Linked DNA regions of Neodiprion lecontei. The protein of the gene in region 2 binds, or shares a complex with, the protein of the main gene of each other region. Links are inferred from orthologs where the notes say so. Each region holds a gene or a part of one and is shown on either strand. Other genes may lie near its edges. The genes, in order: cleavage and polyadenylation specificity factor subunit 4 and cleavage and polyadenylation specificity factor 73.

Evidence for each region.
Region 1: cleavage and polyadenylation specificity factor 73 (region 2) and cleavage and polyadenylation specificity factor subunit 4 share a complex: the UniProt entries of both Drosophila melanogaster proteins name them as parts of the cleavage and polyadenylation specificity factor (CPSF) complex. The link is inferred for Neodiprion lecontei from reciprocal best matches to the Drosophila melanogaster genes Cpsf73 and Clp.

The regions. Positions count from the first base shown.
Region 1 is NC_060262.1:20,763,550-20,770,212, forward strand, and holds cleavage and polyadenylation specificity factor subunit 4, read right to left. Parts: upstream 4,451-6,663; 5' UTR 4,237-4,450; coding exon 4,134-4,236; intron 3,828-4,133; coding exon 3,624-3,827; intron 3,043-3,623; coding exon 2,853-3,042; intron 1,876-2,852; coding exon 1,494-1,875; 3' UTR 573-1,493; downstream 1-572. UniProt on the Drosophila melanogaster protein: Component of the cleavage and polyadenylation specificity factor (CPSF) complex that plays a key role in pre-mRNA 3'-end formation, recognizing the AAUAAA signal sequence and interacting with poly(A) polymerase and other factors to bring about cleavage and poly(A) addition.
Region 2 is NC_060260.1:5,311,923-5,316,882, forward strand, and holds cleavage and polyadenylation specificity factor 73, read left to right. Parts: upstream 1-1,706; 5' UTR 1,707-2,181; coding exon 2,182-4,242; 3' UTR 4,243-4,308; downstream 4,309-4,960. Other genes in the region: DNA polymerase theta, read right to left, coding at 4,805-4,960. UniProt on the Drosophila melanogaster protein: Component of the cleavage and polyadenylation specificity factor (CPSF) complex that plays a key role in pre-mRNA 3'-end formation, recognizing the AAUAAA signal sequence and interacting with poly(A) polymerase and other factors to bring about cleavage and poly(A) addition.

The DNA.
Region 1 (6,663 bases), on a different chromosome or scaffold from region 2:
CCAGAGGAGATGTAGGTACACTGAATATGTGCTCGAGTAATCCTAATACTGAACTCTCGGGAGAAAACTATTGTACTGTTTTCTAGCTAACTAGCTACCCTTCAGCTAATCACTGCAACTTGATGTAAAAGAATAATCTGACTTATTATGGTACCTGAACATTTGGGTACTAGAGTTTTTCTGTGTTAGCGATACCCATTGTGGATAATTGTATGAAGAAGATGTCCAGAGTGACTCACCAATGCCCAGTACAAACCTCTAGATCCATATACATGAAATTTAGGAAGTATATTCCTTTCATAACTTAAGCACCGAATAACAAAGGATTTTGGACCTTGATTTCTAGGGATGAAACGTGTTTTCGTAAATTTCTCAATATTTCTTTGGTCCGGTAAGATGGCGACTCTGCTTTGCTTTTAACGACTACTCATTGAAATACCTAAAAACGAAATACAGCATTTTTCAAAATTCACTTACAAAAGGAATAAAAACGGGTAAAATGTGTTTTCATGGTTCACTCGATATTTCTTAAGCCAGATGCAATATCAACTTGATTTTTGCTAAGTTTTGAGTGTAGCAAACCGTAATATGTGTTACTCGCTAACAATTCGTGAGATCTTAGTATGTCATAATTCATTAAGTTTAGGCCAGAGATATGCCATACTTTTTGATACAGTGTCATATCATGAATGGAGAAATATTCCATTCCGTAAAAGAACACGCAGTTGACTCTTACATGTCGTTAACGATTGCACTTGACACAAATGTCATAAATCCAAATTTTTTCCTTCTTTAAACCCTGAATATTTTATGATTCACGTTTCTTACCATCCCATAGAAAAATTATCCTCTATGTTTGTGTCAAAGCATGAGACTCTTGTAACGTTCATGTTTTATAATTCGTTATTTTTCACATTTCAGATATATTTACGGTTGACGGCAGCCTATCGGCGGTGACAATGTTGCGCTGTGTATGGTGTTTCTGTTTAAAAATTTTACAACAGACACCGGGGAGAGTCAAAAAATGCTTTGTTCATTTTCACTATCTCTTACCCCTGCATTGTTGTATAATTGTTGAAAGTAAAAATGAGTTAAAATGAGATTGGACTATGAGACCGTGTTTGTACAATTGTTTTGCCTTCAAATGAAATCTCAATTTTAACAGGCTTGAATATACACAAACCAAAGGAAATTACTGTTTTGTTTACATATGAACCTCCTTGTACATTGTTAGCTGCAAAACTAAAACTCTGAAGTGTAAGACAGTGAGAATCCGAAGACGTTTTCTTCGATTTTTTTTTCAGCCACCTTTAAGTACATCTGATATAAAATTGTGATGAAATGTTCTTTTTTGAGTCCTGAGTTTCAGACTAACCGGTCTATGTACAATATAATTGTTTTATTATTATTTTATTATAATACGTACAAGTACCATTATATTCAAGTGATTTCAAAGAATAAAATGATCATACTTCCAACATATGACGAACTACTCATCGTCTGTAACTTGGATTTTGACCACTGGCAGCTGCCGCTGCTCCTCCAGTGTGACTGAGGAAAGCTAAATGTCCCTTTGGGCACTTATTCGCGTAGTGTCCTTTTGTACCGCACTTGTAACATGTCACCTCTTCCAAAGGTTTCTGAGGTCCTCGTGGAGGGGGACCGCTGTGTGAATTGATGTGGTGATGTGGAGGATGTGCTCCCTGGCCACCACCCTCCATTTCTTGCCTTGCTTGAGCTTCTCTAATATCAGGAGGCATCTTGTTGCAGTAGATTGCTTTGTGACCACCTTCACCACAAAAGTGGCATGTTATCATCACCTTCTTTCCTTCCTTTGGTTGCATATCTTGGACTGCAGGCAGCTCAAAACGAGGACTGGAACAAAACGTAAATAACGTAATGGAATGCAATTGCTGAGGGGGATCCGAAACCCGGGAATTATATTTGAGTGTACAGCCCATACTAAAAATAACTTGGAGGTGCCAAAACACCGAAGTTTTCCAAAAATTTGTAATTTCAATTCACTTAACCACTTAAACGGCGGGCCATTTATTAGATATATATTATTGATTAGATATATTATTGCTAGATAAGTGCTTATCTAGCAAATTTTTCTCGCTAATATGATATGTTGTATTTCATATCAGCAATAATAAACGGCCTGCCGTTTAAGTGGTTAAGCGAATTAAATTCACAAAATTCCACATATAGCACATGTGTGCACACATCAACAAGCTTCACACACTGTCAAAAATGTGTCTCTTCGCGACGAAACTCAAATGTAAATATCGCTAGAGTAAAAAAACCCAATTGCCAAGTCATCAACATAGTATAATAACAAACATTAGCATGATATACATGATATACATGATAAGTTTGGTATCTTCTATGACGTGCTTTGCGCCATAAAAGATCCTATTCGATGTATTTGTGAAACTGCACAACAGGCAATTTTTGATCTCACAATAAAGCAAATAAGTTCTAGCAAAATTGAAATATAACAACGTTACCTTGGAACAGATATTTGTTAGACATTGCACATTGAAAAAAAATTGAGTCGCAATTGTTTTACCTTTGCACCTGGTCCGCAGTTGAAAAATCGGCTGTTTACAAACTATTGCATGACTCCCGAGTTTGGAAATGTATATAAAAACAAACCTCAAATTTCAAGGATTTTCAAGATTTCCAATGTATGTGATTCTTGTGTTTCAGAAGCAATGTAATGGTGTAATAAATCAAAATCACATTGTTTTAAAACAGATGAATTAATTCTCTAATTCTGTAATATGAAATTGGTTGTTAGATAAAAATAAAGGATACACAGATGATAAATCAATATTCTTGTAACTTACTGCATGAATTTACAGTTTGGTCCTTCTGGGCAAAACCCGGCTAGATATGCCATGCATAGAACCCTTCGTACATGCCTATGCCGGCAGAGAGGACCATGTCTGCAGAATCCGCGATCGTACCAAGGACAATCACGAACTTTTGTCTCAGGATCAATGTGAAGAAACGGACATTCTTTGTTGTGGCACGCATCTGAAATCAAGGATTAACATTATCTACATTTTTTTAATCAGTAACCAGAGCAGTGTCCCAGAAGGAATTTCATTGACATCGAAAATTCGACAAGAATGTAACTAAGAAATATGTTTTTCATTAACCGCATATTTGTGAAAATCCATATTCTACTTTTCCAAAGTACTTTTTGAAATAAATTCCATAATTGTTTCCTAAAAAAAAATGCAACTCGTTTTTCTTATTCTAATCTTGAACAAGACAAGGCCCCACATGTATTGTCCAATTGAATAGCTATAATGATAACAGACTACCAAAATTGAAATGAAAAGTATCACTTTTTCTTGTTCTGAATTGAATAAACGAATCTTGACTTTGAATGCCTTTTTATACATAAATATCAAACAGGTAAATAATGAAAGAGTATATACAGTTACATATTCGTCACTTGCAATCATCATTTTTATGGAATCAAGTTCTGTTTGTGGAAAAATGTTTGGAAAGTAGCAAGTGAATTGGAAAACAGTGAAATGACATAAGCAATTTCTTGTCAACGCAAAATGTGAAACGAACAATGAATTCTGTATAAAGTGATCTCTTACTGAATCGGGAGTAGAAGTAGCATTCAGGCATCTTAGTCATGTCATATTCATGAAGAAATTCGCACTGGTCTCCCTTTTTGCAGAGACCTCGCAACCAGTGTTTACATACAATGGTTCTGTCCCCTCTGACGTGTCTAAAAGGGCAAGAGCCTCCTTTGACACAGGTTCCCCGTGGATAAAATTGACATACTGCAGCGATGGATTCTGTGAAAGTTTTACAAACTGATCAAAAATAGTCTTAGAGCAATATACATCCAGAATGAACAGTCAAATTTTGACAGCAAGTTTGTTTACTTGGAGTACCTTAATGAGGCGGGAATGGTAATATGATATGATGTAATATGAAAGAGAAATAAAAACAAATCAAAATTTAATGATTTAGTATAACCAGGTAAAATGAAGCGGTAAAGCACAAAATCAGCAATAAAATATCAATGTTTTTCTACCGTATAAGTCGCGCATGAATCGAGCATAACCTCAATTTTTATGAGCAAAACTCGTAATACATACTGTCCATCCCCGTGAAAGGTAACGGCAGGGCTCCATACTGTTCGTCCAGAGCGATTTCTATGTCAAATTTCATGTGTTCCACGTTAGCTACAATGCACTCCATTTTTATAACAAATTGTTTTCCACTTATCACGTTGAATTCGCATCTCAGTTTACAAGGGTAGCCATATTCAAATTTTCAAGTACTGCGTGGGCATGAATCAAATCAAATATAACTAGACAACACACTGCTTCCACTTATCCAACACCCGATGCGCAACGAACGACACTTGTATGACTAATTAGACAGTAAGGTCTCGTGCCTGTTACGCTAATTTTTTTGAACTAGTTCATTTAAATCGTACTTTAATCGTTGAACATCACCTACTGGCAGTTACAATATCCAAGGTATACGTTTCAAATTATATAATGTAATAATATAAAGGCGTCATCATATTAACAGTATAATGAGTCTGAGAAAACCTTTCCATAACCTGTCAAAAAAACAGCAAAGGAGACGAGATAATTTTGCAAGTTGTTTAACAATGACCTTTGCCGACGAATTTCTTCCTCAAAATGAGAAATATAGAAATGAGGCTGTAAACGTGCACTGAAACTCATAATTAGGGTCGAAATCCACAAGGTAAAGGATCTGGACAGCCAAAACTACGAAGCGCTTGTCCTGGAAGTCAAGTTTCACCAGGTAGCAGACCTAGAGCGCAGAAACCACGGAGCGCTTGTCATGGAAGTCAAGTTCCACCAGGTAGCGGACCTGGAGCGCAGAAACCACGGAGCGCTTGTCCTGGAAGTCGAGTTTCACCAGGTAGTGGACCTGGAGCGCAGGAACCACGGAGCGCTTGTCATGGAAGTCAAGTTCCACCAGGTAGCGGACCTGGAGCGCAGGAACCACGGAGCGCTTGTCATGGAAGTCAAGTTCCACCAGGTAGTGGACCTGGAGCGCAGAAACCACGAAGCGCTTGTCCTGGAAGTTTTACCAGGTAGCGGATCTGGAGCGCAGAAACTACGCAGCGCTTGTCGTGGAAGTCGAGGTTCACCAGGTAGCTGATCTGGAGCGCAGGATCCAGGCGGTAGAGAACCTAGTACTCGAAATCTGTGGAGCGCGATTCTCACACGTCCTCTCTACTGCGCGGTTGTTTCCGGACTGAGGAATTCGGCGAGCTGATTTTCGTCGCCTACGATTACTATAGATCGATGACGTCAGAGAGAAAAAATTTTGGGTGACGTCACTTTTTGAACATCCGAACATCCGAACATTCAAAATTTGATTCCAAACTTTAATACTCTGTATGATGTATGATGATGTATGATGATTTAATTGTGTTATGCGTATTTTATTGTGTATTTTACAGTGTAACATAGGTTGCCTATGGTACGGCTCCAAACTCCGCGTTCGCAAATGATATAACATACAATTAGGTATAATGAGTGTTAGTCAATTGTAGTACTAAACAATGATATTGTATTTTTCTATGATGCAAGATTTTGTAACACTATTAGGTTTTGATTAAGGTTTATTATTATTATACATATTCCAACCAGGGATATTTTGAATAGTTAGATGGTTTGATCGTAATTTCTGGTTACAAGATTCTCACACTTGGAGTTTATTAGTAGTGTTAGTGACATGGAATAGTAATAAAAAATAAAATATACGAGCATTCCACTCAGATGTTCCGACACCCAGGAAAAAATACGCTTTAGAACCCCTGCACTATGGAGGGTAGAGGTAAGAAGTATCTCATATGGGTTTTCAACTGGAAAAGTATCAGGCACAAAGGGATAAATAATGGTTCAACAAGCCAGAATAGCACTCATAAGTAATAAGGGTAACCCTATGATTGGCGCTTAGCAATCAAGGTTCAATTAGATTTCTAAGGAGATAAGAAAGGTTCACGGAGATCGTCCTTACGTCTGCCCTTCATACCCTGCAGAATGAAACGAAATAAAAAGTAATAATAAATATTAATTAGCCAATCACCACGCGCTTTGGAAAAGCTACTCCAATCGTAGGACTTATTTGTCATTCCTATTTCTTATTCCCTCTCATTGTGCTAGGGGCTCAAGTATCTCTCCCATACTCCTCACCCTTTAACCATAAAGGTAAAGAAGAATCTCTCCATACTCCAAATGTAGACAGAACGATCCTCAATTCCCAATTCAACTGCATGACCATGCTGGAGAATAAGAGTTAGATGTAAACAAACCATAAATAAATACGGACACACTCAGGAAGTTCGAGTAGGAATAGTATTCGAATCAGGAAGTAACACAATACATTTTCCTAGCTAACGAAAAAAGTAGAACAAATTTCGCTTAGAAGCTTGCGATCGCACCCAGAGCACTAGAGTAGAGAAATCTTTTAATAGCTAATATTATGCTATAGTCTTTCCCAAAAACCCAGGAACTTGCAAACCCAGTGTTAACATACAGACAGGGCCACAATTCAAAAGATAACAAGCACTTACAAAGCAAAAGAGTCGTCGAATGAATGTATGTATAATTCTTCATATCTTAGAAAAAAAAAAATGCC
Region 2 (4,960 bases):
TGTTTTCATATCCTGAAAATATCAAGGATGAACATCAAACTATTTACTAAATTGAAACATTCTGCAAATTATCCCGAATGACGGTAAAAATAGTACAAGTATATATATTTTACATTTTATAAACGATTTAATTAAGTATAATACATGTTATTCTTATATCTGTTTCATCTCGGAACAGATATTTTTGCATTTAAATGCACTGTCAGATTCAAATTTGAACATATTTTCCAGCCTCGCCACTATAGCGCTCAGATCACAGGCGGCCATCTTGTGAAAATTGTGGAACAATTGCTGGCCCCTCGATTACCGACAGAAGACAGAAGGGAATGTGCGTCGAGAAGTCGGGCGCGTCAGAACATCCGCTCTGTAGTTCGCGTCGGTTCGCATCGCGATGCAGTTATCGTATATATTCGGCGCGATTGTTTTGTATATAATTATACTGTGCTCAGTGCCATAATTCATTTGTAAATGTTCTATTTATCTAACAACTTGCTCGTGTTAAGCGAAAGTAAATTATTTCTCAATAAATAAAAGTGTGATGTAAAGGTGCGTAGTTGACCAGTAATGAATCAGTACGACGAAATATAATTTTTCAAGTGCTAAACATTTGCCGATCGCAGTTTGTTTTATGCAGCTTCTTGGAAAAAAAAACGACACGTTATTTGCTCTGTAAAGTCTCCGTCGACATCTTTGTACCTTTTCTATTATTATACTTCGATATTTATGTATCGGATTTTATGTTAACTGTAACATTAACTTATTAATTACGTAGTATATCCGTAATCATCTAACTGCGATCAGCGATCAAAGTTCGATTTGAAATGATACGAACCTATGTTTACCCGGACGCATTCATGAATATCACGAGTTACTTATTCCAATGTTTTGTTGCTTTTGTATCCGGCTGATTCGCCTAAGTGAAACTCATATGAAAGATTTCCACTTATTGTTAAGGTGAGAAATTTTACTGTTATTTTTCATGCGTCAGTTTTTAGACGTTTATAAAATTGCTATTGTCAGTTATTCGAATTATCTTTCGGCTACGGGAAGTAAACTGATTTTCGGTCATCATTTTAATAATTATGTACGGAGATCGACGATAATGTAAGTGTTTGTGGTTCAAGCGATCGGAGTATATGGAAGTGAACTTTTAGCATCGCACAGGCGGTAACCGAATGGATGTACTCTATGGGTCAGCCAAAGTAAGTCTAGCACACAATTTATTATTTACAATTTTCTGGCTTACGACTCTAAATGACAGACCATGCATGCACAAATATTGTTGCGATGATTTTGCGTTGCCTTAACACCGCGTTTATATCGTCCATTTAGAAGAAATCAAATTTCGAATGGCTGTGAAAAATTGTGCGCCTGCTGATACGCAACCAAGTACAGACATGTATATATAAGTATATATATCATCCATAGAGATATATCGTCACCCGATACTCTACTTCATTGTCGATAGTAATCAAAATGGAAATAGCTTAATTAATGAAACCATAGACTTATATATAAAACAGACTGAGCATTAGGTCGGAGCGAGTGTCCCCTGAACCTCGATTCCCCCGTTTTTGGTGCTATCCTTGTCTTACATCCGCAGTTGATACTGCCATCTCTTTCTAGCGATCTCGGGGTGGGGATATGTAGGATGGCATACCTGCAACTGCCCCTCACTTGCCTTTCTCTTCCCCTCTAAGCGCTTGGCTCAGAAAACCCCATAAGAAAGAAAGAGACAGCATCAACAACGTTAGGCGTTCCAGGGGTCGAGGGAAATGGCCGGGGTGTTCAGTCTACCTTATAGGTATATAAGTCTATGAATGAAGCTTTGTGTTTATGTTATTGTGCCTTGTGTATGCCTACGCGTGTGTCACTGCGATGAACCAATTTGAACGCATTCATTCAATTGTTTCGTGCAAAACGTGAATTACGCAGATTTCTTGCGTTGCCGGTACCTAGTTTGCAAACTGTTTTAATTTCGCGATACACCGGACTGCTAGTTGGACTTGGACATGTCCATACCTTTAAACTTCAACGATACAAATCGATATAGCACGATATTTCAATGAATAATGATATCGAAGGAGTTATACTAGGTTGAGAGTTGTTTCTACACGTGAAGTCTGTTATTGATTAACAAGTGTATATTCGTACGTGTCTCGGGATAACACAACCTAAAAAATGTCATCTAAACGGAAGCCGGACACCCAAGTGCCGGCAGAAGAAAGCGATTTACTTTCGATTCGGCCGCTTGGTGCCGGACAAGAAGTTGGAAGATCTTGCATTATGCTGGAATTCAAAGGAAAAAAGATAATGCTGGACTGTGGAATACATCCAGGTCTCTCCGGCATGGATGCTCTTCCATTCGTTGACTTGGTAGAAGCCGATGAAATCGACCTGCTTCTGATATCTCATTTTCACCTCGATCACTGTGGAGCCTTACCTTGGTTTTTGCAAAAAACTAGTTTTAAGGGACGTTGTTTCATGACTCACGCGACAAAAGCTATATATCGCTGGTTGTTGTCCGATTACATAAAAGTCAGTAACATTGCCACGGAGCAGATGTTGTATACCGAGTCTGACCTAGAAACTAGTATGGATAAAATAGAGACGATAAATTTCCACGAGGAAAAAGATGTCTTCGGTATTAAATTTTGGGCATATAATGCTGGCCACGTTCTTGGCGCTGCTATGTTCATGATCGAAATTGCTGGTGTTAAAATACTGTACACAGGTGATTTTAGTCGGCAAGAAGACAGGCATTTGATGGCTGCCGAAATACCAAACATTCATCCTGACGTTTTGATAACTGAATCCACCTACGGAACTCACATTCATGAGAAGCGGGAAGATCGAGAAGGAAGATTTACTAATTTGGTACACGAAATTGTGAACAGAGGCGGAAGATGCTTGATTCCTGTATTTGCCCTGGGACGAGCACAAGAGCTACTGCTAATCCTGGATGAATACTGGAGCCAACACCCCGAGTTGCATGAAATTCCCATTTATTATGCTTCGTCTTTGGCCAAAAAATGTATGGCAGTTTATCAAACTTACGTTAACGCGATGAACGATAAAATACGGAGACAGATAGCAATTAACAACCCTTTTGTATTCAAGCACATATCAAACTTGAAAGGGATCGATCATTTCGAAGACATAGGACCTTGTGTCGTTATGGCATCTCCTGGTATGATGCAGAGTGGCTTGTCCAGAGAATTATTTGAGTCTTGGTGCACTGATTCGAAGAATGGAGTAATAATCGCCGGTTACTGCGTAGAGGGGACTCTGGCCAAAACAATCCTCTCCGAACCCGAAGAAATTACAACCATGTCTGGTCAAAAATTGCCTTTGAAAATGTCAGTGGATTATATATCATTCTCAGCCCATACCGACTATCAACAGACGTCAGAGTTTATTAGGATTTTGAAACCACCACATGTTGTATTGGTTCATGGGGAACAAAATGAAATGGGCAGATTAAAAGCTGCTCTACAAAGGGAATACGAGGACGATCCACACACCATAATGGAGATACACAATCCTAGGAATACAGTGGCAGTAGAGCTGTATTTTCGTGGTGAAAAAACAGCAAAAGTTATGGGAACTTTAGCTATGGAAACTCCAAAACCTGGACAGAAGTTATCAGGTGTTCTGGTGAAAAGAAACTTCAATTACCACGTACTGGCGCCTTGCGATTTATCGAAGTATACCGATATGAGCATGAGCCAGGTGGTTCAAAGACAAAGCGTACATTTTTCTACATCGTTACCGGTATTGAAACATTTGCTAACGCAAATTGCTGGAAGCATAGAAAATATCGATGATAAAAAGATGAGAGTATTCAAAAATGTTGATGTTATTGTAGAAGGAAAAGTTGTCACAATGGAATGGATAGCGACTCCTGTAAACGACATGTATGCAGATTCAGTTTTGACTGCAATATTGCAAGCTGAAATGATGGAACAACCGCCGAAAACACTCCCTGCACCAACGAAAATGGACCGAATGCATTTCAAGGAATGTCTGATAGAAATGCTTCAAGAAATGTTTGGTGAAGATTCGGTACCCAAAATTTTCAAAGGCGAAAAACTATATGTTACAGTTGATGGTAAAAAGGCTCACATAGATTTGTTAAATTTAGAAGTAACAAGCACGGAGGATGAAACCTTTCAACAAATAGTCCAGACTGCCGTTTCCAAGTTACATCAGTCATTGGCTCCGCCATGCGATACTTTATAAATTTTTACATTTACAACCTTGTAAATCTAATTCATTAAATATTCCATATCGGATCGATATTTTCAACATGCAATTTGTACTTCTCTTTTCCTAAACCAATAGATTTAAATTATGATACATAGCTAATAATTTTAATTGTGTATATTTTTCTACAAATTCAGCAATACAAGTTGATTCGGTGATAGCAGCAATATGAAGATTAGTAAATGCTGCATTAAATATAATTGTTATTAACAATAGTTGTATAAAAATGAACAATTCAATTTTTATCATGATTTTTTCTGTGTACAAAAATTGATCCATCTATATCGCAATGACACGAATTTTGCATGTAAACTTACCACTATTATTCAATGTTTTAATTCTACACAATTTATGAGATCTATTACACTTAAATAACCTATTTCAGAAGTTTGAGAACTTGACATAAATAATATTTACAATTAGTGGATCTTATAAAAGTTGTGATCATTTATAAAATATTCGTAATTAAATTCTTAACATATAAAAATTCGCAAAAGCGAAAAATATATAAATTAAAATAAATAACGTCTTTCAACAATTAAAAAATACATTCAGATGATTCTATGGGCTTCTGAACAGTGTATTCTGTTAGACTGCCCCACGTCGGACCAACTCTGATTTTAACAGGCAATGGAATTGTTAGCTGATATGCTTCTTCCATTGAAATTTTAACTATTGCTGCAACACGATCAAG